Linked DNA regions of Notamacropus eugenii. The protein of the gene in region 3 purifies or fractionates together with the protein of the main gene of each other region. This does not show direct contact. Links are inferred from orthologs where the notes say so. Each region holds a gene or a part of one and is shown on either strand. Other genes may lie near its edges. The genes, in order: MAP4K4, STRN3, ZRANB1 and STRN4.

What was found.
Region 1: the proteins of ZRANB1 (region 3) and MAP4K4 purify together in Homo sapiens (affinity purification with mass spectrometry; 3 studies listed by BioGRID and IntAct, with this or other methods). This does not show direct contact. The link is inferred for Notamacropus eugenii from reciprocal best matches to the Homo sapiens genes ZRANB1 and MAP4K4.
Region 2: the proteins of ZRANB1 (region 3) and STRN3 purify together in Homo sapiens (affinity purification with mass spectrometry; 4 studies listed by BioGRID and IntAct, with this or other methods). This does not show direct contact. The link is inferred for Notamacropus eugenii from reciprocal best matches to the Homo sapiens genes ZRANB1 and STRN3.
Region 4: the proteins of ZRANB1 (region 3) and STRN4 purify together in Homo sapiens (affinity purification with mass spectrometry; 4 studies listed by BioGRID and IntAct, with this or other methods). This does not show direct contact. The link is inferred for Notamacropus eugenii from reciprocal best matches to the Homo sapiens genes ZRANB1 and STRN4.

The regions. Positions count from the first base shown.
Region 1 is NC_092877.1:173,756,285-173,763,379, forward strand, and holds the start of MAP4K4 (mitogen-activated protein kinase kinase kinase kinase 4), read right to left. Parts: upstream 3,001-7,095; 5' UTR 2,913-3,000; coding exon 2,856-2,912; intron 2,301-2,855; coding exon 2,235-2,300; intron 1-2,234.
Region 2 is NC_092878.1:47,716,141-47,723,780, forward strand, and holds the start of STRN3 (striatin-3), read right to left. Parts: upstream 3,008-7,640; 5' UTR 2,799-3,007; coding exon 2,517-2,798; intron 2,400-2,516; exon of another isoform or gene 2,276-2,399; intron 1-2,275. UniProt on the Homo sapiens protein: Calmodulin-binding scaffolding protein which is the center of the striatin-interacting phosphatase and kinase (STRIPAK) complexes.
Region 3 is NC_092872.1:281,369,317-281,376,212, forward strand, and holds the start of ZRANB1 (ubiquitin thioesterase ZRANB1), read left to right. Parts: upstream 1-3,894; 5' UTR 3,895-3,918; intron 3,919-6,896. UniProt on the Homo sapiens protein: Ubiquitin thioesterase, which specifically hydrolyzes 'Lys-29'-linked and 'Lys-33'-linked diubiquitin. Also cleaves 'Lys-63'-linked chains, but with 40-fold less efficiency compared to 'Lys-29'-linked ones.
Region 4 is NC_092876.1:28,840,160-28,847,922, reverse strand, and holds the start of STRN4 (striatin-4), read left to right. Parts: upstream 1-4,754; coding exon 4,755-5,033; intron 5,034-5,132; exon of another isoform or gene 5,133-5,162; intron 5,163-5,286; exon of another isoform or gene 5,287-5,301; coding exon of another isoform or gene 5,302-5,436; intron 5,437-7,763. Other genes in the region: ribitol 5-phosphate transferase FKRP, read right to left, coding at 1-1,296. UniProt on the Homo sapiens protein: Calmodulin-binding scaffolding protein which is the center of the striatin-interacting phosphatase and kinase (STRIPAK) complexes.

The DNA.
Region 1 (7,095 bases), on a different chromosome or scaffold from region 3:
AGCCCAAATGTAATATTCAACCAATTTGTTTCAAAATCCAAAGGGAGCTAGGAGAAAAGAGAGGGAGACAGAGACAAGTAAGGAATCTGGAGGGCAAAAAATTCAAATTACTTGCAACCTAAAGAGTTTTAGTAACAATAAATGTCTAAACCTTATTTCTAACGGTTGAAATAAAAGGCCTCACCCAGCATCAGATGATTTTAACAAGTACCTTGCTTCTGCAGACCCACATGACCTACCTGTAGTTCATGTTAATCTACTCTCTTTCATTGAGTTCTATTTTAAAACCAGGCTGATGTCTGCTTTCTTTAACAGAAATAAGCTCCCATAAGGTCCCCTACTCCCTAACCCCACTCTCTAAAAAACAAAACTGAACTGGATAAACAGATAAACAACATGCTTTTGCAAAATCATCTAGAAGTGTCCATTCACAACTTAGATTTGACCTGAAAAGAGTGTTCACTCTGTATGTCGTTAAGTCCATTTAAGCCAGTCATCTGGGCCTTCGGAAGTTACAACACACTAGGAAAAATACACTTTCCCAAAACTTCTAAACTGAATTAGGCAAATTTGTTTCTAGATGGAAAGCAGATTACAGTAGTCAACAGTCCTCCTATTGCCCTACCAAGGCCTAGATGAGTGAACACAACGAATGGAGACCATTCACAAATATCCATTAATGTGTTAACTGCAGAGGGCTCACAATCACAGTACTGGACATGGCTGAAGAGAACTCAGGTGATAGAAACATATGTAAAGAAGAAAAAATGATTAGTCACTTGGAAATGAGGGGGTTGACCTGAAGAATCCCACCTCTAATACTCTAAGCTTTTAAGATTCTAAATGTCCAAACTATCTTTAAAATAAGACAAAGTAATGCACATGGTGGTGATTCTAACCTTAAGTACAAAAACTCAAGTTTCAATATTTATATAACGAAAAATGTTCCTGTTCAAATACATTTGTTCACTAGAAGAAAATAGCCATACAACTTTTTTTTTTACAAGAATGGATTGTCATATAAGTGATTAAAAAAACTACTGGAAAGGAGAATGTAACCTTTTGTTTTCAGTTTTCAAGGCTTTGTTCCTATTTCTCAAGTAGTATAGTTTAGTAGAGCACTGGTCCCAGAGTCAGAAGACCTAGGTATCAATCCCTGTTCTAAGACTTACATGTGAGGTTTGGACAAGCCCCTTAATATCTGTGAGTTTCTTTGCTCATTTTAAAATGAGGGGGGTTGGACTGGATCTGGCTCAGGTTCTATGATCCTATACCAATAAATGCATTACCTACCTAACAGAGTTTTGTGGAAAGTGCTTAGCAAATCCTTATAGTGCTATATAAAACAAGCTACTACTATTTGCTACAGCTTATTCTTTAAGACCACGTATTAGTTAAAATATACGATAACTGTTAGTCACACCAGGTAGCTGCTACTCATTGCACAGTCATGCAGTCTCAAGACCTGTCTGTCGCATTCACTGTTCATTTAAAAAAAAAAAACAAAATAAGACTTGGGATGAGTGTGAAACACTTCTCACTCTCCCCGATTTCTGCTTTAATTATGCACTTGTCAAACAGGTTCTTCCTGGAATTCAGATTTTATAATGTTCACACTATAATCCTTCCTGCTTTTGTTGCCTAAATCTGGACAGTGGTCCCTGTCCCCATTCAGCCCCACCCCAGGCCACTTCCAATCAAGGTAGCCTTCAGTCAGTACACTGCATGATGTACACCAAGCTAAACTAGAAAGTAGCATCAGTTAATACCAAACTGCACCTTGAGCACTTGGAAGAGGTTCAAACATGGAGACAAGATGACAATTTCAGGAAGGCCAAGGCAGTGCTTTAAAATGAATGTAAGCAATGCCTGCCTATTACAACATTCCTGAATTTTAATTAAGCTACACAAACTCAACTGGGTAGTCTTAAAAAAAAAAAAATGAAATTGCCTTATGAAAACATTTCCCTCCGTTCTTCCACCCCCCCCCACCCCCGTTCTTATTCAAGTAAAGTACATGCCTGAGAGAATAGTTTCTTTCCCTATCTGAAAGTCAGAAAATGAGGTCCTTTAAGGCCAGTGAGACAGTAAACCTGATATTTGGGGGGAGGGGGCTGAAAATAAAGCACTAATACAGAAACCCACCAAACTTTACTTGACCAATTGGTGCAGCCAAGTCGCCTCCTGCCCTCCCCCAAAATGTCACGGGAAACAAAGAGGGCTCAGACACCAACCTTATAGACTTGTCCATAAGTGCCATTGCCAACTACTTCCACCAGCTCAAAAATCCCAGCAGGATCCTGGAGAGGAAAGAAGGGAGGGTTTGGTTTTTATTTTTTTAGGAGGGGAGTTGAAAGATGAGAGGCATACAAAAGAAGTTAGTTTGGCCTTTAAAGCAAAGGAATAAAGAACTTGCTTTATGTCCAAGTGTACGTAGAGGGTGGATGGAGGGGAAGGGGGGGGGGCTCTTGCAAAAAAACCCACAACGGTGCCTAGAGCCGGGAGGATGTTGGGTGCAGCTGTTGCGCCCTAATTTTTCCACGCACATGCCAATACATGCAAACAAAGGAAAAGCATCAACCCAGCAGCCTCCAACTCTCCCCCCCCCCACCCCCGCCCCGGCAGCACCACCCAGAGCGGGGCAGGAAGGGGAGGCCGGCAGAGGCGGCACCCCCACCCCAGCCCCAAGCACACGCACACGGCTGGACCCGCGAGGGCTGGGCACGGGGCGCGCGGGGGGGGGGGGGGTGTGTGTGAAAGGAGTGAGGGTGCAGAGAGCACAGGCGAGGGGGGACCCTGCTGGAGACGGGAGGATTAGGGGGGGGGGGGGCGGCTTCATTGTCGCTGGCACTCACCCGCAACGAGGAGAGGTCTATGTCCACCAGACTTTTTGCAGGCGAGTCGTTCGCCATCTTCTCTTTTTGCAAAAAATAGATATATGCTTTTGAAATTCAATTGGAATTGTTTCTATAAAGGGCTAATGGTCGATGGCAGCAGCTCCTCACACTGAGACGAGCCCCGCCAGCCCAAGGCTGCTCCTCATTGGGAGGCGGCGCTGAGGCGACTGCCGCTGCTGCTGCTCGGATCTTCCTCCGGCTGCTCGGTCCGGCCGCCGCTGCTGCTGCTGCTCCGGTCCGGTCGCCGCTGCTGCCGCCGCCGGATAGCTCGCTGCCCGGGGATGAGCCTTTATTTCCCCCGATCTGAGTTGTCCGTCTGTCTATCAGTGTGCGTGTGTGTGTGTGTGTGTGTGTGTGTGTGTGTGTAGGAAGAGAGAGGAAACTGGGAGCGTGGGGCGTCGGAGGCGGGTTTACACCATGTTGAGGTGGCAGCAACGGCCCCCAGGCTCTGCCCCCACTCCCGGCTTAAGCCTCAGCCTCCTCCACGCCCAGCGGCCGCGCTCGCATCTGCACCCCCCTCCTCCTCCCAGACAAACGGGCGAGGAAGGTGGAGGGCCTCGGACGGCGGCTCCCCTCCGGCCTGGGCGAGCCTCGGCTCCCGGCAGCGCCGATGGCTGCCTGTCGGCGCTAGCCCCCCCGCCGCTGCTGCTCCCGGTGCCGCCGGTGCAGCGGAGGGCACGGCACCCACATCCACAGCGGCCAAGGACTCGGAGCTGCGGCGCTGGGGAGAGTTCAGGGACCAAGGGAGCCAGACAAAGATAACCCAGGAGGAGGAGGAGAAAAAGGAGGAGGAGAAAGAGGAGGAGAGAAAGGATACAAAAAACTAGATTATGAGAAGAGAGAGAAAACAGCTCCCCCTTTCCTTCTCCAACAGGAAAAGCCAGCGGAAACACACACACACACACTCACACGCCCCAAAGCACTTCTGGGTAAACTAGAAGGAAAAATCCTGAGCAGTTCCTTTCTCCGGGTCGGTCTGGGAGTCGCTACTTGCTCGGATGTATCCATATTCAGCAGGGGTGTGGCGGGGAACAATAGAGAAGTGAGTCCCGGGCCGCCGAGGCGTGCCCGGCCTCTCTCCAGCCTGGCCGGACCTGGAGAAGAATGCTAGGCTGCGGTGGGGGGTTTAAAGGCCGACTACAGAAATAATAACGAAGGCAGAGGGTCTGTGTGCGTTGTGTTCCCAGACGGGAAGATCCCAGAGAAAACCAGTGTGAAAATCAGGAGAGCTCTGTAATTGTCAGAGAAAGGAAATTGACATGGTCCGGACCATGTGCTCCGGGGCACCGAGCTTAAGGCTTTGAACACTGGAAATGAGCAGCAGCACCCCCAAAGAAACGCAACAAACAAGAAATCCCTAACGGTAAAGAAAACACTTGGGCTCCCCAGGAAAGAACAAGAACGGGATTAACCCCTTCCTTCCCCCTCCAACACCTCGGGCGGTGGGTGTGTCCCACTGAGGCTGGCTGGGCCTGCTGGTGTTCTCTATAAGGATTGGAGAATCTTCTGAGAGCAAAATCCACCCTCTCTTTTTCCCACTTTCCCCTTCTGGAGAAATGAGCTTATTTCTTCTCAGACCTCCGCTCATGGTTCCTAAATATTGTTCTATCTCAATTGTTTTCCTTAAGTTTATTTCATCACAGGATTTTCTAGTAAAGTAGCAACGATCAAAATAGACCCGCGATGTATTTATTCTAACTTTTCTTTGTGATGCCTTATTAGTGTGAACCTTAATATTTTTGTGGCCAGAGTAGGGAGTCGGAACTTCTCAGAAAGTCTTTTAACTGGCTCTGAAGGTAACCTTACCAGTACACTTGGAAGTTAGGCAATTCAGTCCAATTAAACAAGAATTTATTGAGTGTCTGCCATATGCTTGTACTCTCCTAGGCAGTTTTTCCTTGTAATATTCCTTTGCTCAAAAACATTGAGTAGCCCACAGGGTACAGGATAAACTCCTTAGCTTGTCATCCCAAACCATCTATAATCTGGTCCTCTAACCGACTTGTTCAACTTGATCTCCCACTGCCTGCCACCAAGAATACTCCATATGGCCAACAGATCTGTCACCTTCCTTTGACCATAATTTCAAATTTCTTCATCTCTAGGCCACGCTCTCCTCCCTTACTTCCGATAACAGACCTCTTTACTCCTCTGTCTGGACTCTGTCAAGGCTTAGCTCAAATCCTATCTCCTAGAAGTCTTTTTTGACCACTGTGGACTAGAATGGCCCCTTCCAAAGTCTCATAGAACTGGACTTGTCATTTACCACTTTTTTGCCTTTTTACAACTAACTGGCATGTACATGCTTTGTCTGTCAGTTTGATTTTAATTGTAAACTCCTTGTGTGTAGGAATTAACCGACAAGTATTTATGAATGAATGAAAAATGAATTAATTAAGTACTTAATATGTGCCAAGTATTGTACTCATTGCTGTGGATAGAAAGGAAAAAATCAAAGACTAGCCCCTGTCCTCCAAGAGTTTACATGCTAATAGAGGGAGACTAAGTGGCACAATGGCTGTAAATGCTTTCTGGTCCTGGAGTCCGGAAGACATCTCTTCCTGAGTTCAAATCTGCTCTTAGACTAGCTGTGTGACCCAGGGCAAGTTTGCCTCAGTTTTCTCATCCGTAAAACAAGCTAGAGAAGGAAATGGCAAACCACACTATCATCTTTGCTGAGAAAACCCTAAATGGGGTCACAACTGAACAACAACAAAGGCAGACAATACAGGAGGACTATTTTGGTTGGCAGGGATAATAAGTAGAATCATAGAGAAATAAATGGGTGTATCCCATTCTGGGAGAGCGGCAGAATTTAATTTGCTCATAGTTAAAGGTTACAGAACTGGAAAAGGAAAGGAAAATGTACCCTGTGTTTGGCAGCAGTGTGGCAGTAGTGAAGGACAAGGCTACAGAGGAGGAAATGAGATAAAGCATGCCCGACGTTTCCTGAAATAGTAAAACAGTTACCAAAAAAACCACAGAGTGAAGTGCATTGTGCTAGGCCCTGTGGGTGTGTAATAAGTCAGGGTCCTTTTCCTGGAGTTTATAATACAGCTGGGAAGAAAGGAATAACTCGCATTTCTATAACTCCTAATAATTTAAAAAGTTCTTTCCTTATCAGAATTTAGGGAGGGAGTTGATAAGAGTGTATTTATCCCCATTTTAGAGATAAAGATAGGACAGGTTAAACCAATTGCCTATGGTCACATACTGACCTAGGTAATAAGTGACAGATTGGAATGAAAACCCAGATCTTCTTATTTTCATACTCTTTTCACTGTGAAAGACGTAAAATATAGAATACATAAAAATATAACTAACAATGCAAGGCACTAAAATAATTAAGTGCCAGATGGTTATCTTATGCAAGGGAAATAGTATAAATGAAAACTAGGCTGAGGACTTTGATAGGGAGACTAGCTTTTTTTTTCCCTAGAGATGAAGGCTTATTGTTGGAGATAAGGTTAGATGCCCTTATAGGACCAGATGAAGAAAATGAGATGTGAAAATGACACATTGAGTGACCTACTCAGGCTCATACAGGACTGGGGAAAAAAACCCAGAAATTCTGAGAATTAGTAAAGTTTAAGGGAAAATAAATATCCTAGGTGTAATAGTCAGAAGTTTGATGGTCTAGGAGATGGCCCCAATGAGTTTAGCCAGCAGTCAAATGTAAATGTACCTCCTCACAACTTGCAGAAGGACAGACAGGCAATAAATTTTCACCCATTCAGAACAATGCACTGTCAATAACACAATAGTATCCAATTAGGCCAGCAGTCTACATCTACACATGTTACTTGACTTTTTTCCTAATTTTTCCTTTATTGCAGAAATGGTAGGAGTTCCATAGTCAAAATATATTTTCAATCTATGAAGGGATTAAGCAAGGGTAGGGTGGAGGGAAGTAGATCTGTGGAGATAAGAGAGAGACTATCTGAGGTTAGGGTCTTTTGGAGATTTGCGCTAGTTTGAAAGGGTGTGGAAAGGTAGAAGATTTGGGAATTAATTGGAATGAGAGGTGAAATAGTCAATTGTTTTCATGTTGTATAAGCAAATAAGTTTCTTAAAAGCAAAGATTGCTTTTTTGTTTTGTCTTTTTACCTCCAATATTTTGCTTATAGTGGGGTGTTTAATAAATAATAATAAATAATAAATTTAATAAATTTTTCTTGCATTGGAGTGGATTAGATTG
Region 2 (7,640 bases), on a different chromosome or scaffold from region 3:
ATCCAGTTCAAACCCCTTATATTTTTATAGAAGTGGAAAGAAACTAAGTCTCAGAGAGGTTCTGTGACTTGGGTGGGTTCACATTAACTGTGAACTAGAATTCGAACTCAGCTTGTCTGACTACAAATCCTCTGCTCTTTGCATTGTACTAGGATTTCTGAAGTGTTAGAGGCAAATAGAGGCACACAGTGGGTGTGAGCTACACAAGAGAAACAGTTTATCAGACTTTAGAGAAAAAAAAAAAGGATTGTCACTAGCAAGAGTATGGATAACTAATAATGAGCACCCAGGATCCCAGTGACTTAGTAATGTGAAGAATTCTAGAGGATCGTCCCCAAGATAAATAGATTAGAACCATCTTTTGTGGAAGATTTTCAAGAGAACATGGACAAGACTTTCCCAGAACAGGCAAGCATAGATAGGTTGCTGCAGGGGAAAAGGAGTTTCAGAAGGAGAAAGGATAGAAAAGGCAAGGTCAAAATAGATATCATAGGATTAACATCACTAACAACTCCACTAGTAAACCAGTAACATCTCTTTTGCTTGTGTTACACTACAGTTTAAGAGTGACTGATGAAATTCTTATTTAGAAAAGTCCTAAAATACAAATCCCAGGCTTGATTCCATATAAAATACACCAGTCATCAACATTTAGACTGCATTACTGCATTTCAAAACCACCAACAAAAAAATAGGACAAATGATCATACCTAATAATTCTTCCTAATGCCGTTTCAAACCGATCAACCACACTGCACAAATTTTTATTACGTACTTATGGACAACATTATTATGGACAACACTCGTATAATGAAATAAATTCAATTTCCAACACAGATGCTTTTTAAAAACCCTTTTCTAAATGATTAGTCCACTTACATGGGTAACTGTGTAGTAGACAGTATATAACACTATCTGCAGGCCACTACAAACTTTCAGCAAGTCATTTAAAATGCACAATATACCATGTATCATTATACCCCAAAGTATAAAAGGCAGAAAGCACTGTTTACATAAAAACACTTTTTAAAAATTTCATGTTTTTAAAGTCCAATACTATAAAATAAGAGATAAAATCCACAAATGTTTAAAAAAAAAAAAGCTGACAGGAATCGAATTAATCTCATAATCTTATTTTCTAAGGCTTGATAAAGACAATTTCCAAAGCAAAATTATAATTTTCACTTTAAAAAAAAATCATTAACCTCATTTTGTGACTTCACTATTTATAAGACCAAAGGAAAAAAAAACCCTATTGACTCCAAAACGTTACTGGCCTGATTAAGACATGTGAGATGAAATCTTTTTAAATAGGTAGTTTCCCCTCCATATTATCTTTCCGTAACTACTTAGCGTGCACACGTACACCGAACTACAATATTGCACGCAACATTGTATCAAAAAAACAAAACAGGTGCAATACTTTGTAGCAGAGACGCTGTCCAACCCCACCTCCCAGTCCTAAATTTGCCTTGGAAAGGGATTAAAAATAAACACGTTGGTACTGTCCACTAAAACATTCTTTCCCAACAGATACACCAACAATAGGTTCTTAAATCCAAGCTCCTATTCTGCTGCAAAAGCCTATACACTCGTGTTCTTCCCATTTTTCAGGGTGAGGCATACTTCATTTTCCATTTCCTCCCCCAAAAGGGAGTTTGAAATATGCAAATAACTGTTCTTTATTCCAGCCCGATTTAAGTCCAATCTGCCCTTTCCTCTGTTTCCTAACACCAAGCAGCAGACAGAAGGAAGTGACTGCTTGGGACTCAGGGATAAGTGAAGCAAACTTAAGAATTATTCATCATCCGAGAGTTCAAGAGTTGGCCCGAAGTTGGGGCACGTTAGGGACCCAAAGGGAGAGGGGGGAGGGGACACCACCTAGGTGACCGGGCCCCCCAAGCCAAGTTCGGCCGCGCGCAGAGCAAACTTCAGATCCTTTTCGGAGGGAGCGGGGATGCTCCGGGGAGGGCAGCTGTCAAAGGGCAGGTGGGGGGCGGGGGGAGGACCTGCTGGGAGGAGGAGAAAAGGGGAGGAGGAAGAGTCCGGCACGATCCGGGCCGGGGTGTCTGACCCGAGGGGGGGAAGGGCTGAGGGCAGCCGTCGCGCGCGCGTCCCGCCGCCAGCCTCCCTCCCCCCACCCCCGGGGGTTCGGCGGAGGGATCGTCCCGGGGCCACGGCTCCCCAGGTCGGGCCGGCGCCGCCGCAGCCGCCGGAGAAGCCCCGGCGGACGCCATACTAGAAACCAAAATGGCTGCCCCGAGGAAGCCCGCATCGCGCAGCCAGTGAGGGCCGCCGAGAAGGCTTCCCGCCGCGGGAGGGAGGAGGGGGAGGGGACCCCTGCCGGGACCTGCCGCCGCCGCCGCCGCCGCCGCTCCTCCTCGGCCCGGGCCCCCAAGGTACGTCTCGCCCAGCCGGTGCCCTCGGGCCCGGGATCCCCGCGCGGGCCCCACCCCCTCCACCCTCCCGTCGAGGTCCCGCCGTCCTCCCCACCCCGGGGTCCCGCGACCGGCTACCTGCAGTTCGGCCCGCTCCACTTCCCAGTGCGCCCGCTCCATCTCGAAGCGCGCCCACTCGTGCTGGATGTAGTGCAGGATGCCCGGGATCGTGTACTGCTGCGGCCGGGACAGCTCCGGGCCCGCCGAGGGGCCCGCGCCCTCCGCCGCCGCCGGCTGAGCCGCGCCGCCGCCGACTCCCGGCTGCAGGTTCATGTTGACCCCCGGCCCCTGCTGCTGCTGCCGAGGGGCTGCCATCCCCGGGCCGCCGCCGCCGCCGCCGCCTCCCGGGAGCTCATCCATTGTGTGAGGGGCCCCGGCCGGGGCGCGGGGGGAAACGCGGACGGCCGGGGGCGGGGGGGAAGGAGGAGGAAGGTGGCCCCGCGCGGGCGGCTGGGCGGCGGCCCGCGGGGAGAGGGGCGGGGAGGGGGTCGTTGCTAAGTGTCTGCCGCGGGTCAGAGCAGGGAGCTGCCGGCCGCCGCCATTACAGTCCCTCCTCCATCTGCCCGTCTCACTCACTCACTGGAGGGAGGGGGGGCGGAGGGGAGGGGGAAAGGAGGGTAACGTGGGGGGACGGGGGAGGGAAAGGGGTAGTCGTACAGCCGTCGCCCCCGCGCGGCATGCTGGGTAAGCGACGCTGGTGCCGCTGCCGCAAATCTTATAGCCAAATAGAGTCGGGCTCCACCGTTGCGCAAGCGCACTGAGGAAGGGAGGGGCCAAGACGCGAGGTGGGAGGAGCCGTGGGGGCGTCCCCCTCCCCCGCCCACAGCAGCTCGGCTCCCGGGCTGGGCTGCCCGGGCTGGGCTGGCTGGGCTGCCCGGGCTGGACTCGGTGGCTCCTCTTCTGACTTAATCTGGACCGCAGGACTTTCCTCTTTGCTACCTTCCCGAGTAAGCTCGTCCCGCCCGGCTGTATCCCCGCACCCAGCGCCGCGGGACGAGCGGGGAGGCCGCCGCCAGGGCCGGATTGGAGCCGGTTCTGCTGTTCCGGCGCCGCATTCCTCGCATTTCTTTGGCATTCCTTGCGTGGTTCCCGCCGCCCCTCCGCGTCTGTCTGTCTGTCACTCCCTCTTCCTCGGTTCTTGGCCCGTGCCGGCCTCTTCTCCGTTCTGGTAGTAACTCAGGCTCCGCGGCTGACCCGGAGCCCGCTTTGGTTCTTCCCACGCTGGACTTCGGCCGGACCGCGGCTCCGGCTCTGTGGGGGAGGGCCACACTTTGCTGCGGTCTGGTCTGGAAGAGCGTGCTGAGGGTGACCGGCCCGTGTGCGGCCCGTGGGAGGGGGGAAGTTTCCCTTTCTCCTTCCCTCTTCGCCTGGGGTGCCCAGGACGGCGTCGGACGTGCCCTCAGCGCTGCCCCCTGCCCTCGCTGGCACTGCTTCCCAGACTGGGCTGCGGACGTCGGGGCGGGGAGGGGGCCGCGCTTCTCCCCCGGGCTGCGAAGACCTGTTCCGTTAAATACGGCGGATAAGGTTGTTCCTGGGGTTGTAGCTTCCATGGGAGAGTTCCCTTCCAACCACCTCCCTAGAGTCTCTTTGCCTCTTTTGTATCCCCATCACCTGGCATAAGGTTTATCAGTCCCCATTTTAAAATAGGATTTCAGACTGGAAGAGACCTCAGGTCACGCAGTCCCAAAGCTTCCGTTTTACAGATGTACAAACTGAGGCCCACAAGGCCTGACTTGTCCATAGTTACGCATAGTAAATAGCGAAGGTCCGTTTGGGCTTAATCCCAAGTTGGCTTGCTCTGAATCCAGTGCTTCTTTCCAACTTCCTCAGGCTTCCTGTTCCTCATTTTTGTGTCCCTTCCTTTCTTCTCCAGCCACACCCTAGCCAAAATCTATTTTATGGGTCTCCCCAAGTAACTGGCTTACTATCTCTGATAAATTTATTAAAGTAAATGTTTGATATTGCAATGACTTCTTTACTGTGTTAGCCCCTGAAGGATAATTTGCTTGTGTAAAGAAATCTGTAAATTTTGGGAATGAATTTCTAAAAGTAAGAATTTCAGGTACTTTTCAAGGCTTGTATGATCTCAGATTGTGTAACCTTTTTAAATTTCCCCTCCCAACTGTTCTCTGGGAAATTAAATGTACTTTGCCCCGTATCCTTGAAATTTGCTTATATTTAAGTGCTTTGCCAATTTTCTGCAGCGTGGAGACAAGTAATTTGTTAACGTGAATTTGAAGACTAGAACAGAATCTCTGATATGCTTGTTTTGCTTGGAGTACTGCATTTAGTTTTATGGCTACATCATCAAATGGACCTTGACCACATTTTTTCTTGTTCAAAGGGGGATAAACAAAATGGTACAGGGCAGCACACCATATCAGGTAAAGAAAAAATGATCGAGTGGATAAAGGTCTTAAGAGCAGCTATGTGTCACAGTGAATAGAGCCCAGGGCCTTGGAATAAGGAAGACTCATCTTCCTGAGTTCAGATCTGGGCTCAGACACTTACTAGCTGGGTGTTCCTGAGCAAGTCACTTAACCTTGTTTGCCTCAGTTTATTCATCTATAAAACGAGGTGGAGAAGGAAATGGCAAACCACGCCAGTGCCTTTGCCAGGAAAACATCAAATGGGATCACAGAGAGTCCAACCTCAATGAAAAACAAGTCATCAACGAAAGTCTTCCCTTCTCCAGAATGTTCTCTGACCCTGCTTTCCCTTTGCTGCTTTCAATCTGTTACGGGCTGGGAAACCAGATAACCATTATTTTTAGAAGTGTCCACAAATCTAGAGTAAATAATCTTTTTGTGAGAATTAGAGTACTTCTCCTTTGAGTTTAAGTGCCTTCCAAAAAAGAATGGATTAAAGAATGAAGGGTGTTTAGTCTGGAAGATGAAAAGAAACATGAGAGAGAGGAAGAGGCATAAAACACAGTGTTAGGTGCATATCTAAGGATACAAAGACAGAAACAAAATTCTCCTTTCCTGGGGTGGGTGGAATAAGTCATATACATCTATAAATACAACATTAGTTTTGGGGGTAAAGGAGAGATCTCAAAAAAAGTGCTCTAGGAATAACTGAGAAGAGATGGAGCATTTTTAGCTTGAGGTTGTTGGGAGTGTAATTCATGGAAGGAGAGGGTGACACCTAAAATGAGTCTTGAACCAAGACTGGGATCTTGAGAGGGACAGCTGAAGGGGGAATGCCTTCCCAGGAGGATAATTTATGCAAAATCATAAAGGCCGAAGATGGCATATCATCTGGGGAATAGTTAGGAGCCCAGTTTGATTGGTGCATAGAATACAGTCAGTGAGTAAACACTGGGAATAGAAAGACAGGTAAAAGACATTCTCTGCTCTTGAGGAGCTCGCAATCCAGTGAGGGAGGTTGTTGTGTTTGTCCTTCGTTCTCAAAGAGGACCATGACATCAAGATGATGACATGACTTGCAGCTGACTTTGATTTGAGTGAGGAAGGGTTACACAAGGTCACCAAACTCACTTTCTTCTGAGCCAACTGGAGATGACCCAGGATGCAATGTGAGACCCTGGCCCTTTCAGGCTTAGGTCTTATCACATTCTCACTTTGAGTGAGATTCACCTGTTCAATGAATAGGCTTCTTTATGTTACTCAAGGGATGACTGATTTAATTTTTAAAAAAAAAATCAAGCTGGGAGGGGAAGACCCTCCGGGTTCCTAGGTAAAAGAGAAACAATTACTATTTAGTTATTACATTCGCTTTATACTAGGTGGGTAGAGACTTGTCTAGTCTACGAGCTCCAGAGTGAATTGAATTTAAGGCTTGATCTTTAAGCAAGAAATGTAGCCATAAACCAAAAGAAAAAAAAGCAACTTTTGGCCATGGAGTGTACCTTCCCCTAGGTAGAACACCAGAGGAGAGGAAAGGAGAGGAGCTGTTATTCACAGGTTGTGTTTGTCTTCCTTCTCGAAGAGGACCATGATATTAAGATGATGACATGACTTGCAGTTGACTTTGATTTGAATGAGGGAGGGCTGTGCAAAATCAACAACCTCTCTTTCTTCTCCTGAGCCATCTGGTTACAGTGGCCTGATATTTATCAGGACAACTGGAGATGGCCCAGGATGCAAACAGACAAGCTACATGCGGGATAAATTGGAAATAATCAATAGAAAACACTTATCTTAAGAGAGATTAGGAAAGGCTTCCTGTAGAAAGTAAGATTGTAGCTGTGACTTACTAGGTTATTAAATGCCAACCTAAGGAGTTTGTATTTTATTCTAGAGGAAACAAGGAACCAATAAATCATTAAACATATTTTAAGCACCTATTATATGCCAGGCACTGTGCTAAGAGCTGGAGATAGAAAAAAGGGCAAAAGACAGTCCTTATCCATAAAGGGCTTGCAATTTAATGGGGGAGACAACAAGCAAACAAATATATGCAAAGCGATTTGTGTATAGAATAAACAGGAAATAATAAAGAGAGGGAAGACACGGGAATTAAGAGAGAGTAGGGAAGGGTTCCTATAAAAGGTAGGATTTTAGTTAGGACTTAAAGAAGGCAAGGGAGGTGAGCAGAGCAGAGGAGGGAGAACATTTAAAGCATGGGGGGACAGTCAGAGATAATACCCAGGACTGAGAGATGCAGTGTCTTGTTCACCAGGGGAGTTGCTTGTTCAGATTTATGCATAAGAAAGTGGAGATGTAGACCTGGAGTTCTGTAGAGAAAACAGGTCTGGATATAGAGATGTCAGAGTCATCAGTGTAGAGTAATAATTAAACTTATGGGAGCCAGTGAGATCACAAAGGGGAAAAGTTTAAAGATAAAATAAAGAGGGCCTAGGACAAAGCATTGGAGGAGATGCTTAGGGCATAGAAGAAGTTTAACTAGCAAAGGTCAGATTAGTAGAAAAAGAACCAGAAAAGAGCAGTGTTTCAGAAGCCAAGAGAAAAGACACTTTCCTGAAGGGAATGGTCAACATTGTTAGAAACTGCAAAAAGATCAAGGAGGGAGTTAATTTAGAAATGACCCATCAAGTCTAGCCACCAGATCATTGGCTACTTTGGAGAACAAGTAGTAAGAGGAGGCAGCCAGCGTTCATTACGTTTACTAGTTGTTTAGCAGTAAAAGGAAGGAGAGAAAGACAGAATAATTTGAGGGAGTAGCAGGTTTAAAGAAAGGTGTTTGCTTTTTTTAAGTGAGGAGACTAGAGCTTGTTTA
Region 3 (6,896 bases):
GAATTGAACTTCCTCTTTCTTTACTATAGCTCTCAATGTTGTTCATATATTAAAAACCTGAAAAAGACCAGGTGTGGTTGCTCACATTAAATGGCCTTCGGGTGCTGCTGGGAGTGGAGTATAGGAAGGTGGACCCAAAGGCTCACTGGCCTCCAGAATATTTTTTATGGGCATCAAGAAGCTTCAGGGACAGATAAGTGTGTCCTGGCCTGGGTCACCATTTTGATGCCTCAAAGATGCTGGGAGAGTTCTGTGGCCTCCATTTGGAGTTTCCTCTAGTAATGCCAGACCTACTCATTCTTCTCCACCCATCCTGGGCTACTCTTGTCCATGGCATTCCTCCCATATTTTTGCCACAGGAGGTCCACTCAGCATGCTAGGAGCCTTTTCCTGGATCCCTTGACATGATACACCAATGGTGCTTGAAGGCTGTCCAGTGGTTACTTCTCACTTTTGCTATGGGGTTGACCAATCCATCTTTTTTCCAACAGGGCAGATGTTTCTCTGTTGACATATTTTATGCTCATTTTCCCACATAATTCCTCTTTTGCTCTGTGCTGCAGCCTGCTCATACAACCTTGAACAGATTCTTTATGAACTTCTGGGTGAACCTCAACTTCAGTGCTTCAGAAATGGGGGTTTTAGGCCTCACAGCCATAAGCAACACTGGAAAGATATAGATGTGGGTTTCTGTCAGGGAGCAGCTTGAAGTCATCCAAAGCACTGCAATTTTCTGAAGACAATCCAGCCTTCTCTCCTGCTGTTCAATTCTAGGTCCCTTGTTATCTATCTGCAAGGTCTTTAATCCCTATCCCTTTTCCTCTTCTCATCCTTATTCCTCTCCTTGTTTACCTCCTATTCTTGTCTAGCTATGTACCTATGTATCTATCTACCCCCTCTGTGTGGTCCAGCCAACTGAACAACAGGCATTCTTCATCCATTGGCTTTTCTTATGGTTAGGCCAAAGTGGTCATCCACTCCCAGCTACCACTGACCCCATTTCTGTGCCTTCTTCTCTTGACTCTACCTTATCACATTTGTACTGTCATTGAAACAGAAATAGAAGCCACTAAAACATTGTGGGTCACACATTGACTTAAGATAACCATATATTAATATTACATCTTATTGTATCTTTGTTTTGTTAACTATTTCCCAATTAGATTTTAATGCTGTACTCTGGCATGTTGTGGGCCACACCACATTTTTTTCTACCTTACTGACTCCCCTAACACAACCCTAGCTGGAAGCACTAAAATGTTAAGAAATATCTTATTGGGGTTTTGGATGGAAATCTAGACAAATGGCTAGCCAATTACCCCCTGCCCCTGACTTGGATGAGAAGAGCTTCATCCCTCCATTTTCCATCTCAGTCAAGCTTAAGTTGGATCCTTTTTTTGCCCAATCACTGATTGAGGTAAATTCATATAAAAACAATGGAAACACCTACCATTTGCAAAGCATAGTATTAGGGGATGGAGACAGGAAAATGAACTATGACCCAGTTCCGGCCTTCAAGCATCTTATGGTCCAGCAGGGGAGAGAAGACAGGCAGTCATACAGACTGTGATTCGAGGCAGAAGCAAGGGGCAAAGTGCTATGAAAAAATGCAGGCTGGAGAAAACACTTTCAGCTTGGGGGAGGGGCTTCATTAAATAAGCCGTTGCAAAGTGCCCACTATGTGCCAGATGCTAGAGATTCAAAAGGAAAGCCTCTTGGGATCAGGAGAGCCCACTGGAGGCTGGGGTGCCTGGGCCTTTGCAGAGGGGAGGGATGATGGGGAGAGAGGATGGGGTCCTGGTCTGTGGAAGTGGGGAGTTGTCCTCTTGGGAAGAGTAGAGCAGGGAAAGGGAGAAGGGTGAAAGAAGGAGAACTGGAGCCAGGTGGTGAACCACCATGGGAAGCAGATTCTTGCTTATTAGTCATGGGAAGCCAGAGCAGAGTTTGCAGGGGACCCTTTACCTGGGATACACTATCTTGCTACTCTTTTTTTCCACCAAGACTGATGGTATTGATTTGAAAAGTACATCGAAATGTACCTGAAAATATCACTAAAGTAACTGTGAGAATTGGTGGTGGGAATGGAGGTGGCCCTATGATTTCCTAAGAGTAGGAAATCCTCAGTGTGGGAATTTCATCCACTGATGGAGATCAGCGACTCAACTGTATAACTTAAAGAGTTTTAGAGAATTGCCTGGGGTTCAAAGCAGTTAAATGACTTGCCCAGAGTCACACAGCTAAGTGGGCATCAGAAGCAGGATTTGAACCCATCTTCCTTAGGCCAAGGCCAGCCTTCTACCTTCTAGGACATATTGCTGCCTTTCTGTCATCTGGGCTAAATGGGAATACGTCACGATGCATCCATACCTTGCTCCTTTTTAAAAGGCTGGTCAGCCCCTAGGAATGGCTTTAGTGGGGGGAGGGGGGAGGTGTTAGCTTTTGTTCATCAGTATATACAGTGCTACAGGAGTAGTATGTCTTGGGATCAAGCTTTTAGAGGTAGAAAGTACCTTCCATTCAATGTCATTCAACCTGCTTACTTCATAGACAAGAAACCTGAGGCCCAGAGGTGTTAAATCACTTGTCCAGAGACAGACCCAGGGAAAGGAACTTAGTGTGTTTGTGTGATTATGATTCCAGCATTCTTCTCCACTGTAGTGCATGAGAATAATCCAAGAACCAAGTACAGCCTTGGGTCCTATCTATCCTCTTTTGGAGCCAGCAGGCTGCCTCGGCTCTCAACAGGCCTTTCTCCTCCTCCTCCTCCTCCTCCTCATCTTCTCACTTTTTTTGGGACTCCTCCATGACTGGAAATTTATGAGCTAAGAACTTCTTTAACCCATCCTTGCTGTTGTTGTGTTTGTCCTTTGTTCTCGAAGAGAACCATGACATCTAGATGATGACATGACTTGCAGTTGACTTTGATTTGAGTGAGGGAGGGCTGTGCAAAGTCACCAGCCTCCTTTCTCCTCCGGAGCCATCTGGGTCCAGTGGCCTAATATTCATCAGGACAGCTGGAGATGACTCAGGATGCAATGGGAGATGCTGGCCCTTTCAGGCTAAGGTCTTATAGCAATCTCACTTAGAATGAGATATATCCATTCAATGAACAGGCTTCTTTAAGTAGTTGCTCAAGGGATGACTCCATCCTGCTGACCAGCCCTGCTGACCAATCCCCAGTGGTATCCTGCCTGTGACATCAGAGGTAAGTCAATAAGCTGCACCCAAGGGAGAACCCCCTTCCCTCTTTATAGATCTGTGTGGCCCTCAACTATGTCAAGTTGTCCCAATGTATGGGCTGTCCTAGTGTGGAGGTGGTGATGACAAGCTAGGTGCCCCACCCATCAACTGGGGAGAGCTAGATATCACCTGGGGGAGGCAATTTCAGGCAGGACCATTGTTGATGCCTGCTATGACTGCAAGACCCCACCCATTCCCTCCATCAGGTTCCAGGGACCTCTAGGGTTGGGTCCTTGCCCCTCCCCCCACCCTGGGTATCCCATGTTAGGCCTTATGCCTTCCTTTGTGTGAGTTACAACCCGCCTAATAAAGGCCTCCTGCTTTCAACATCACCGACTGGTCTGACTCTTAGGTGAAAATCTCTGTAGGTCTCCAAATAACTGGAATTGACAAGGAAGGAAGGTTACCAGTGCTGAGTTCATATACTTAAGCAGAGAGTAAAATATGGAAAGTATGAGAAACTTAGGAGTTGCGTCCCCTTGAATGACATTTAGAAGAATTAGGTTGTTCCTATTTCTCAAATATTAGCATTGTTGTTCATGTTTCAGTATAAAGTCAGAAAGTGAAATGGCTTAATTCAAAGACAAACTCAGTTCTAGGGCTGGTGGTGGTATTCTGTCTCCACTGTCATCAAATTCTGTCATTGGAAAGACTTCCGGATCAGACTCTCTGATTAAGGTAGGAATCATGAGAATCAAACAGACTGGGACTCAGTTCCCTCATGTGAGGGAACTTATCAGTTTTGCTCCAGTCTGAATGCTTCTTAATCTCCTAGGTCAATGTCCCTCACCTTGTTAAAAAAAACTTAGGAGCCTTTTCTAAAGCTTGTAAGTCTCTTAACGTGTATTGATGACAGAAGCCCTTCCAGTTTTGAGTGTCTCTCTCATGGTGCCAGCATCATAGGTCTGTGTATATTGATAGCTGGGGACGCCAGAGGAGGGTACCCAAGGTGGAGAAGATCCTTGAAACCCTGCAATATGAGGGTTGGCTGAAGGAGCTGGGGGTGTCTAGTTTGGAAAACAGGAGCTCTGGGAAGGGGACAAGTATTTGAAAGGTTGTCAAGTGGGGCAGGGACCAAAGGATGAACTTTGTTCTGATGGGCCCAGAGGGGAAGCTGAAGGATGGTGGATGGGAGTTGTAAGGAGGCAATCTGAGGCTTGAGATCTGAATGAGCTTCCTAACTGATTGAATTATAATCACTCAATCAACAACCTTCATTAAGTGTTTACTCCAGGAGGTCTCAGCAGGAGGAGGGAAGCGCTTCTGGCCGAAGTGAGGGGGCTTCTAACTATGTTATAAGTGCTGGGAAAGGAGCGGGGGGGGGGGGGGGGGGGGGGGGGGGGGGGGGGAGCGGTCGTGCATAGTGTGGGCTCTCAACTTGTGTGCTTCACAGTTTCCCTTTAGTTCACTTTATTTAATGACCTTTAATTTTATTAAATGAACTTTATTTTAAGTTTTCAAGTTAAAATACAAACAAAAATTTATAGGTGAACACCAACTGAAGACGCCTCAAGTGATTTCTCGTAGGATCACATTGACTGAGAAATGGCAGATTCTTCACTCCATCATTATACTGATTAGGGGGATATGGAGACTTATTTTGGTTAGACTTAAGAGTGAATATGTGGTTTTACTTGTCAGGATAATCCTGTATTTTGGCTTCTTGAGGCTCCCCACCTGCAAACTTCCCTGCTTATGTTTAGGGTACCACCCCCCTTGTTGAAGCCTGGACTATTGCAATAGCCCTCTAATTGGCCTTATTGCTATCTAGTCTATCCTTTCTCCCAACTACTTTCCATGTAGCTACCAAAATTATTATCCTAACGCATGGGTCCTACTGCGTCACTCCCCAGCTTTAGAGTCCCTTAGTGGTTTTCCATTGCTTTCTGATCAATCTCAAGTTCCTTAGCTTGATAGTGAAAACCTATTGCCCTCTGGACCCCATTTTCACTCCAGTTTTATTTCATATCACTCCACCTCATGTGTCTTTGAGTTTGCACCCTAGGGTTTTTTTCCCTGAAGGTGAGCTGTGGATTCTTTGAATTGCCACTGTTTTCTATGTTCAGAAATTCTGACATATGTTCTTGCGGAAGATCTTTCATCCTTAAGTTATCTCTATATTCAGTCTGAGATAATGTGTTTTGCTTGAATGGAGATCATGTTTTCTTTGAATGTTAACTGCTTTTTGCTTCTCTTCTAGATTTCCCTTTACTTCTATTCTTTAAGTACCTGATCTATTAGTCTCTCTTGCATTTGTTCTATGAGGTTTGCCATTGTGGATTCAAGCTTTTCTGTTCCATTATTTCTGCTGTGCAAGTCATAAGTTTTGCTTTCTCTCTTGAACCACTTAGGAACATACTGTTGTGCTACCATGCTGTCTTGGGAATTCAAGAGGTTCCTCTCCTTAATCAGGTACTGATTAACTTTTCTTTGTCTTACAATATTTATTCAGAGGTGTTTGGACTCATCTAGATAATCTGGAGGTCATGTTACATTATTAATGTCTTCCCTATTGGCTTGTATTAAACATCTTTAATGGAATTTTTATCTTCCTTAGATCTTTTGTAATTTCAACCTTTTCCCCTTATATTCTTGTATTATTCACTTTCTGACTCCTTTCCTTTTGATGGCTCTTTCCTTTTGATGGCTCTTTCCTTAGGGACCAGGCCTCAAAGTTATCTCAACCTCTTCCTACGCTTGGGAATTCACTTTTCATCAGCCTCAGTTCCTACCCTATGTGATGGGTCTAAACTAGCTACAACTGGATCCCAGTCCCCTTTCCTTAAGATCTGGTAAAGTTCCCCATATAACCTGGACCCAGTTTCCTTTATTATTCAATTCTCAAGCTGAACGTTGTTCTAGCACAGGGCATTCTTACACTGCCATACCAGGCAAAACAAATTTCCCATTTTCCTGTACCTCTAACTCCATGGCATAGGTTGGAGGAGTTGTTCTGTTGCAAGCCTTTGGGTTGGGTTTATACTACCATACCAGGGTATGGTAGCTGATAGAAGGGGGACTGAGAAACCATTTGGGTATTAGAAATTAACCTTTTTTTTTGTTAGTTCATTGGGCTGTTACCTCATTAAGGTTCTTGGTGTCTTAGAACATGGAGGTAGCTGAATTTACTTTACTTTTTATACATAATTCCTGTTTGGGAGGGATTGAGTTGTGAGGAATGGAGAAAATGTTTAGTTTTCCATCTTGATGATTATGGGACCTGGAACTCCTGCGTTTTGGTTCAATAATTCTAGGATGTCTTCTTGTAGGATTTCTTCAAATATAGCAACCAGATTGATTGGATTCATATGGTTTTCTGGAAGTCCAATGATTCCTGAACTATTTCTTCTCATTCTGTTTTCTAGGTCTGTTGTTTGTGACAGTAGCCATATCATCTATTTTTTTAGTCTAAGCCCTTTTCCTACTTCCTACCTCATCTTTCCCAGTCTTTGGATTTATTTCTGTTTGCATTCTTTTTATTCCATTCTAATTTCAGGGTGTTCAGTGCTTGGGTTAGGTTGTCTTCCTTCTGGTCTAAGCTATTTGACTTCCAAGTGCTCTCATTTTGTTCTTTAGCTTTGGTTTCAACTCTTCCTTCATTTTTTCCATTAACTATGAGAGTTTTTATCTGGTGTTCTATTAATAATTATTGTGAA
Region 4 (7,763 bases), on a different chromosome or scaffold from region 3:
CTTGGTCATGATGCCATTCCGGGGGTAGAAGGGCCACAGGTCCACATGGAGGTGGTTGGTCTCACTGTACTGGACCCGGAAGAAGTCTCCCTCCACGGCCTTTTCCCACACGAAACCTCGCTCGTCCACCACTGAGCCAACCTCAGCCCCACGCAGCTGTTCACAGTTGGCCACGTCCTCGAGGTAGATGCCAAGGTCGACATCATAGTCCCATGGGATGATGTCGCCGTGCCGCACTGCTCCCAGCAGGCTCCCCCCTTCCAGCCAGTAGCGGACCCGGGCAGCCTCGAGGACGCCGATGACGTGCCGTGCAGTCTCGCGAAGGGCCTGCAGGCAGCAGGGGGGCGTCCAGCGGCCCTCATAGAGGTAGGAAGGGGTGTCGCCCACCACGGTGTCAAAGCACCTGGCTGTCTCCTTGCCACAGCCAAACCACTCCTGCCTCCCGCCCTCCCAGCTGACCAGTCGCATGCCCAGAGCCCGCAGGAGTGCATCACGCCGGGCACGGCCTTCCTTCTCGGCCTTCCAGCGGGCATGGGCTGTAGCCAAGGGAGGCTGCCGGGCAGGGGCAAAGGGCAGGTCTAGGAGGCGAACAGACCAGCCTCGGACAGACGTCTGAAGGAAGAGGCTGGTGCTCATGGGCCGGGCGAGGGGCAGGGAGAGGTTGAAGAGATCTCGCGTCCTGACCACCACCACAACCTCTCCATCCAGGGCATCACAGAAGGGGGGGTCTGGGGCTGGGCCGTAACTGGCTGTCCATTCGCGCAGATTCACTTCCAGTGCCAGGCAGTGCGGGGGATTTGCTGTTGCCACAGGTGCAGCCACCAGTCGGGCATGGGTGTTTTTCAGCTCATCTGCCATGCGCTGGAGCTGCCCGGGGGACTCTGCCCTCGTCCCATCAGGCACTAGGGCCACAAACTCCGTGTCCACATAAGTCTCAGGCTGGGAAGCAGCAGCTGGCCGATCGAGGGAAGGCTGAAGCAGGGCCAGCCGGACATTGGGAATGGCAGGCAGGGCTAGGGGCGGGTAGGGGAGAGTATCAGCTGCCACTACGATAGGTTGGGTGGGGTCGTGGTGCAGGAAGGAGGCCACCACCTCGGGCACAGCATTGTCAAAGGCTTCAAATTCCCGGATGAGCACAGTGACCCGAGGGTCTGGGGAAGAGTGGGGGAGTCGGGGGGGCCTGGCTGCCCGGCTCCCCCGCCGGCGCTGCTGCTGCAGCCGCGACACATAGAAGAAGACAAGGAGGTTGAGGGTAATTGCGGCCGCCAGCGCGACCTGGCATCGTGTAAGACGCATCTGGCTTTTGGAAGTGGGGCTAGCCCCAGGATCCTGGCAGCCTGTGTGGGTTTGAGAGGTGGAGGCAAGGCAGGGAAGCACTGAGGTTTACATTCCCAAACATCCCCTCCTCCTCCTCTCCCTCCCTCCCTTCTCCACAATGTACAGCCCCCCTCAACAGACTTCCACCCTCCCACTTCCTAAGACTGAGAGCTGGCAAGACCTTGGAGCTCACTTAGCCCAAACCCCTCAATTCACAGAGGAGGAAACTGAGGCTTGAGAGGGTGATTATGAGTAGCTCCTGGCTCTACAGGCAACAAAACCACATGATCTGCCTTCAAATTCAGCACTGCTATACCTGCTCCCTGTTCTACCTGACACTTCCTTCTGTCCCTAGTGGTAAACAGCTTGGGCATTTTCTGCTTAACCAATCCCAAGCCTTGTGCCTTGGTGAGGGTGATCCCTCTCTAGGCCCTCTCCTGTCCCCCGGGCTCAGCCTGGACCCTCAGAGGGCAGAGGGCCCGGGACCTATGTCATTGCTGTGGGTGGGAGACACACACACACACATGCTAGGACTTCAGTCTGCCTATCTGTGGGGTAGGGTGGCAACCCTGAGCCTCCACCCACACTGACTGCTTCTCCCTTTCTCTGTCCCTGTTCTGGGAGAGCCTCAGGCTCCCCTCAAGGAAGCCATGGGGCCTCCCTGGTCTGAGGCTCTGGGGCTGAGGTTCCTGGGGTCAGTGCCCACCCCTAAGCCTCAGGGGCAGGGACCAGTCCAAGGTCTGGACTCTGTTTCCACCTAGGACTACTGAAAGGAAATGGCTTAGCTCAGAAGTGCTCAGAAGTTTAAGTAACCCTTAAAACATCATGGAAGCTTGAGCTGCTGTTCCATCCGACTTTTGTCTGCACTGGATCTGATTCAATGGGCAGAAAGTACTCCATAAATACCTGAACCTAGAGGAGGGTCTGGACTATTGTTGGCACCTGGGCTCTGTTCTCAGAGCCCCATCTCCTCTCCAACAGAGCCCAGACTAGTCCTAGCAGGCTAAGCAAGCTCAAGGAAGCTTTCCACTTCTGCCTTTCTTCTAACCCCCCCCCCAAAGAAAACCCTAACCAAAACAAACAACCTCCTTTCCAGAATTCCAGAATCTATCAATCCTTGCTAGTTATGGGACATTGGTGTTAAGAGGCCTTCTAAAAGGATGCAGCACAGTATGGTGGCAAGCTCACTGACTACATGGTCTGAGTTCAAATCTCACTGCTAACCCGTAGTACTCCTCTGGCCTCCCAGGAGGGATGCTGGGTTTGGAGGTCTCCTCTGGCCCTAATGATAGCATCCTATGATCAATGAATCCAACCCTATCATTTTCTTGATGAGACTGAGGCATAGGAAGGGAAGGATTCTGGGCAAAGGTGCAAGGGCAGTGGGAAGCAGCCTCCCTTCTGTGAACAGATTGGAAAGGTTTGCCCCAATTAGGACCCAGGCCCTGGACTGGGTGCAGGGGCGTGAGGTGGGGTGGCAGGAAGAACCTCAAGAGGGGTGAGGCATAGTCCCAATCCTCTCTGGAAGTTCAGTCTAGGAGGGGAGACAAGACAGACACAGATAACTACTGTACCAGTATACTGCTGGATTGAGAAGGGATATTAGACGTCATCTCCAAGGCCCTGGTTGCAATCCTAGCTCTGACCCTGACTTCCTTCGTGCCCTTATGAAAAGTCCCTTTCTCTGGGCCTCAGTTTCCCCATCTGCAAAAGGGATATTCTGGTTCTCTGATGGTCTAGGATTCTGAGAAAATGAGCGTGGGCATCTGGGTGGAAGGGAAGTAATCCACTCCAGGTCCCCATCCATGCCAGTTTCTAGTCTAGCCCAGCAGGCAGTCTCAAAGCCCCCCAGGTAGGGGGCCCTAGAGCTTACCTTTTTAGGAGAGTGGTGTATAGAAATCCCCAAGGCTGATTGCTTTTCCTGCTGAGGGTTTAGGGAGGGGAAAAAGGCTGAATTAGATGTGGCTTTGGGACCCCTTTCAGGAAATGGGCATCTCACCCAATAGCATGGCTGCCCAGCATCGACATCTCCCCCTCCTCAGGTTTACATGGTATACCCCAGTGCAAGGCAGAGCTGTCCCCTCCAAAGAGGCAGGGCTGGTCGTCTGCCTTTTTCAAGGAGGGACAGTGAAGGGGGAAGGGAATGACTTGGCCTCTCCTTAAAAGGGGTGGAGTAACCTTTGGTAACTTGGAACTCCTTCCCTGTCTGCATCCGTCTGGATTTAGGAAAGGGGTGAATGAAAAGGAGGCAGCCTGATGTCCAGTAACCGCAGCAACCTGCCTCCCTGCTCCCCGCTGCAAAGCTCGCAGCTCTCCCCAAGCGCAGCATCCCATCCCGGGACGGGTCTGGACGCCCTGAACAGACTGAGAAGGACGGCCCACAGCAACCACGATTCCTCCTTAGGACCCCCCTCCTACTCTCCTCCCCGCCTGGGGAGGGGGGAGGGATCACGGCCATCACCCTCTCTTTCCCTGGGCATTCGCACACCGGGGTCTAGGTGTGGTACTAGGCCCGGATGCCATAGCAACCCACACAGCCCGGGGTGGACTAAGCAGATGCTGGGAAGGGACAGATTAGGGTGACTATAGCAACAGCTCTATGGTAGCTGCCATGGCAACTGGCCTATGGGAATTGGGGGGAGGGACAAGGGTTACTGCCGCCACCGATCCTGGCCCGGGGGAAGCAGGTAAGTGTTGCCATGGCGACCAGCCGGCGGGGGAGGGGCCGGGATCGGCTGGGGGTTGCTGGGGAGGGTCGCCTAGACCGGCAGGATTGCTATGGTAACCCACGGGGGGAAAGAGATCCGGGATTGGCGGCTTGGAGTCTCCGGGACAGCGGGGGTGCAGGGGCGGTGCTCCCATAGCAACCAGTGGGGCTGGGGGGGCGGGAGACAGGGTGCAGACTGGTGCCCGTTGCTTGGCAACCCCGTAGGGATGGGGAGGAAGGGGCCTAAGGAGGGGCTGGATGGGAGGGGGGCGTGGAGAGCTGGGCCAGTTGCCGTGGTAACCGGCGGGCCAGGAGGCGTCTCGGATTGGAGGCTGGGAGGGGAAGGATGCGGCCAGGCCGGTCGGTTGCTACAGTAACTGGAGCGAGGGGCGGAGCCAGGAGCCCGAGTCTGGTTGGGGCGCTCCGCAGGGCGGAGAGGGGAGGGGTGTCAAAGGGCTAGGACCAAGGGCAGCCTTCCCGGCGCGCGGCCGCCGCCCCCCCCCCCCCGGCGCGCGGCCGCCGCCCCGCGCGCCTCCCTCGGGGAGGTGACAGCGCGCGTGCGCGTGCGGGCGCGCGGCGACAGCTGCGCGAGGCTCCTCCTCCCCTCCCCCCCCGCCCCTCCCCTCGGGCTCGAGCGCGCGTGCGCGCGGACAACCGCCGTCCGCGAGGGAGGCGCGCGGGGCAGGCGGCGGCCCGCGAGGGCGCGCGCGCGCTCCAGCCGCCGGCCTCCATGATGGAGGAGCGAGCGGCCCCCGCCGCCGCCGCCGCCGCCGCCGCCGCCGCCGCCGCAGCCGCCGCCGCCGCCGCCGCGACCGCCCCCGCCTGCCGCCCGCCGGCCCCCGGCCCCGCCAAGGGCGGCGGCGGCGGCGGGGGCGGGGCCGGCGGGGGCAGCCCCGGGGCGGGCCCCGAGCCGCTGAGCCTGCCCGGCATCCTGCACTTCATCCAGCACGAGTGGGCGCGCTTCGAGGCGGAGAAGGCGCGCTGGGAGGCCGAGCGGGCCGAGCTGCAGGTGAGCCGCCGCCGCCCCCCGCCCCCCGCCGCGCCAGGACCCGCCCCCGGCCCGGCCCGGCCCGCCCCCCGCCGCTGCCCCGGCCCGCGGGCCCCTCACCCGCCGCCGCCGCCGCCGCCATCTTGGAGAGCAATGGCCGCCGCCCCCCCCCGCGGGAGGGAGCGGGGAGCAGGGAGGGGAGGGGGAGCGGGGAGCGACCCCCCCGCCCGGGCTCGGGCTCCTGCCGAGGAGGGCACGGCACGGGAGGGGAGGGGGACAGAGAACCCCCATGGGCGACCTCGGCTCCTGCTCCCGCCGGGGAGAGAAGGGGGACAAAGAAGACCCCCGCCCCCCGCCGCGGGAGGGGCGGAGTGACCCCCTTGCCCGGAGGAGGCGCTTGGGGGGCGGCCCCGGGCGGAGGAGGGTAAGAGACCCCGGCCCTGAGACGGCTTCCACTCACCCCACCCCGTACGGGTTAGGGGAGATCCCGGGGAGGGCTGTGGAAGGGGAGCCCTCGCTCGGCCTCTCGGCAGCTGCGCCCCCTCTAGTTGTTTCTGACTCTTGGGGGTCGAGGGAACATTCTCAGAAGATCCCAGCCGTGACCCTTCTTCCTCCAGCAGCCCCCCTGGTGCCCTGAATTTTCAGTGGGGGTCCTGATTTCCCACACCCGCTGCGCCCCCCGCAACATAGGTGGGAGGTATTGGTTGATGTAGGACCCCTGGCATAGGGGAAGAGGTGGCCTGGGAATGAGGGGCGTTGTGGTCACCGCCCCAGAACGAAAATCAGAGGGTTAAATGTGGGGAAGGGCGACTTGGGCAGTGGCTGCAGGGAGGAGGGCAGGACCCCAGGACTAGCAGTATTTGTAAAGCAGTCTGTTGTGGGCTCATTGGCCCCCTGGTGTGGGAGAAGAGTGTTAGATCTGGGATCAAGTTGGGGCTCGTTTTTGTGACCCTGGACAAATCATTTCACCCTCCTGGGCCTCAGTTTCCTTATCTTTAAGTGGAGGGGTTGAACTCGACAGTCTGAAGTCCCAGCAATACAGCTATGAGCTTATGTGTCTGGTGGGAATTTGAGAATGAGAGACTTAGTGGAGCCTCAGGATATGGGGCCCCCAGAGGCAAAGACTGAGGCCATTGGAAGCGAGGCGAGTGGGGGCCCCAGCATGCAGAAGGGATGTGCTTGTCCAGGCAGCGCTTGGGTGCCTGCTTCCTGCAGCCTCCGGGCTTGGCTGAGAGGGAAGGGAAGACAGGTGAAGCAGCCCCTGCCTTTGATGAGCAGGAGGCAGAGTGGGCACAAGAAACCCCAAAGAATTGGGGAGCAGGGCAAAGACTGGGGGTGGCATAGCAGAATACATATCAGGCCTCTGACACTCACTGGCTGTTCGACCCTGGACAAGACTGCTCTCTGCCTCAGTGTCCTCATCTGTAAAATTGGAATAAGAGCCCCTGCCTCCCTCCCCCGAATCGCTGGAATCATATATGTGAAGTGCTTTGTCAGCCAGAAAGAGCCATAGAAATGCTGCTGCTTTTTATTTAAGCCCCAACAGTTGTGTAGACGGTTTAACCATTTTAGGTGACTTTTTTTCCCCAGAGAAAAATGTTCTATCTCCATTATGTACAGGCTCCTGAACAGATTTCACCTTCTTGTGCCCATTCAAGATGATTGTCATGCACTTTTATTCATGTCATACAGTTGGAGCACATGGGGCCATTCCCCCATGCCCTGGGTCTACTGTTCATGGGCTTCATTGGGTCTTTGCTGTTGCTTCCTGCTGTTTGCAGGGTGCCTGCCTGGAGCAGCTTCTCCTGACTCCTTTTCATCTGCACTTGGTGGGGAAGCCAGCTACCCCCTGGTTCTGCTAGAGGGCCCTGTTAGGGGCTGCTGGGTGGTCTGGTCACAGAGGACTCTGGACTCCCCTGGAAAGGCCAGGGCAGAGCTGGGGCTGGAGCCTGTTCCTCTTTGTTCTTCACCAAGGGGTGTCCAAGGGAAGTTGAGGAGGAAGGAATGGGGCAGAGCAAAAGGTGCTGGCGGTCTCATTCACTGACAGGGCCAGGGAATGGACCTGGGATTTCACTGGGACAGGGAGCTCCCAGAGGAGAAAACTGCCAGTGCCACCATCTCCTCTGCAATTTATAATTTGAGAGGGCTGATGGAGAGTGGGAGGGGGCATGACTTGCCCACATGGTCCTAGATGGTCTGACATATCAGAGGCAGAATTTGAACCCAAGGCTTCCTCTGGCTGAGGCCATTCTGCCTGTCACCTGGGTTCTTCTAGTTCTCAGAGGCATCCCATGACAGTTGGGCTGAGGGCCAGTCTTAAGGGTGTGTGGGTTGGGGGTGGGCATAGCATCTGTCACATGAGTAAAGGTGGAGGCATGGGAATGATGTGCCCCTTCTAGGTGTTTCCTGGGCCTCAGGGACCTCAGACCAAATGGATGGGAAATGTACTGCTGGCTAGAACAGCTGGGATCTCCAAGGAGGGAGAATGTGTTGGCATTCAAAAGACAAAGTGATGGGGCAAGAGCCCTGGACTAGGGAGTCCAGGGACCTGTGTTCAGTATTCAAATCCCCAATCTAGCACTCACTAGCTTTGTGACTAGGAACATCCAGTTGATCTCTGAATGTATTTCTCCTTTCTACTAAATGTGGATCAATAAATAAACAAATATTAAGAACCTTCTATGCGCCAGGCACTAAGAATCCAAAGGGGGAAAAATGAAAGTCCTGTCCTAAAGGAGATACACATATGTA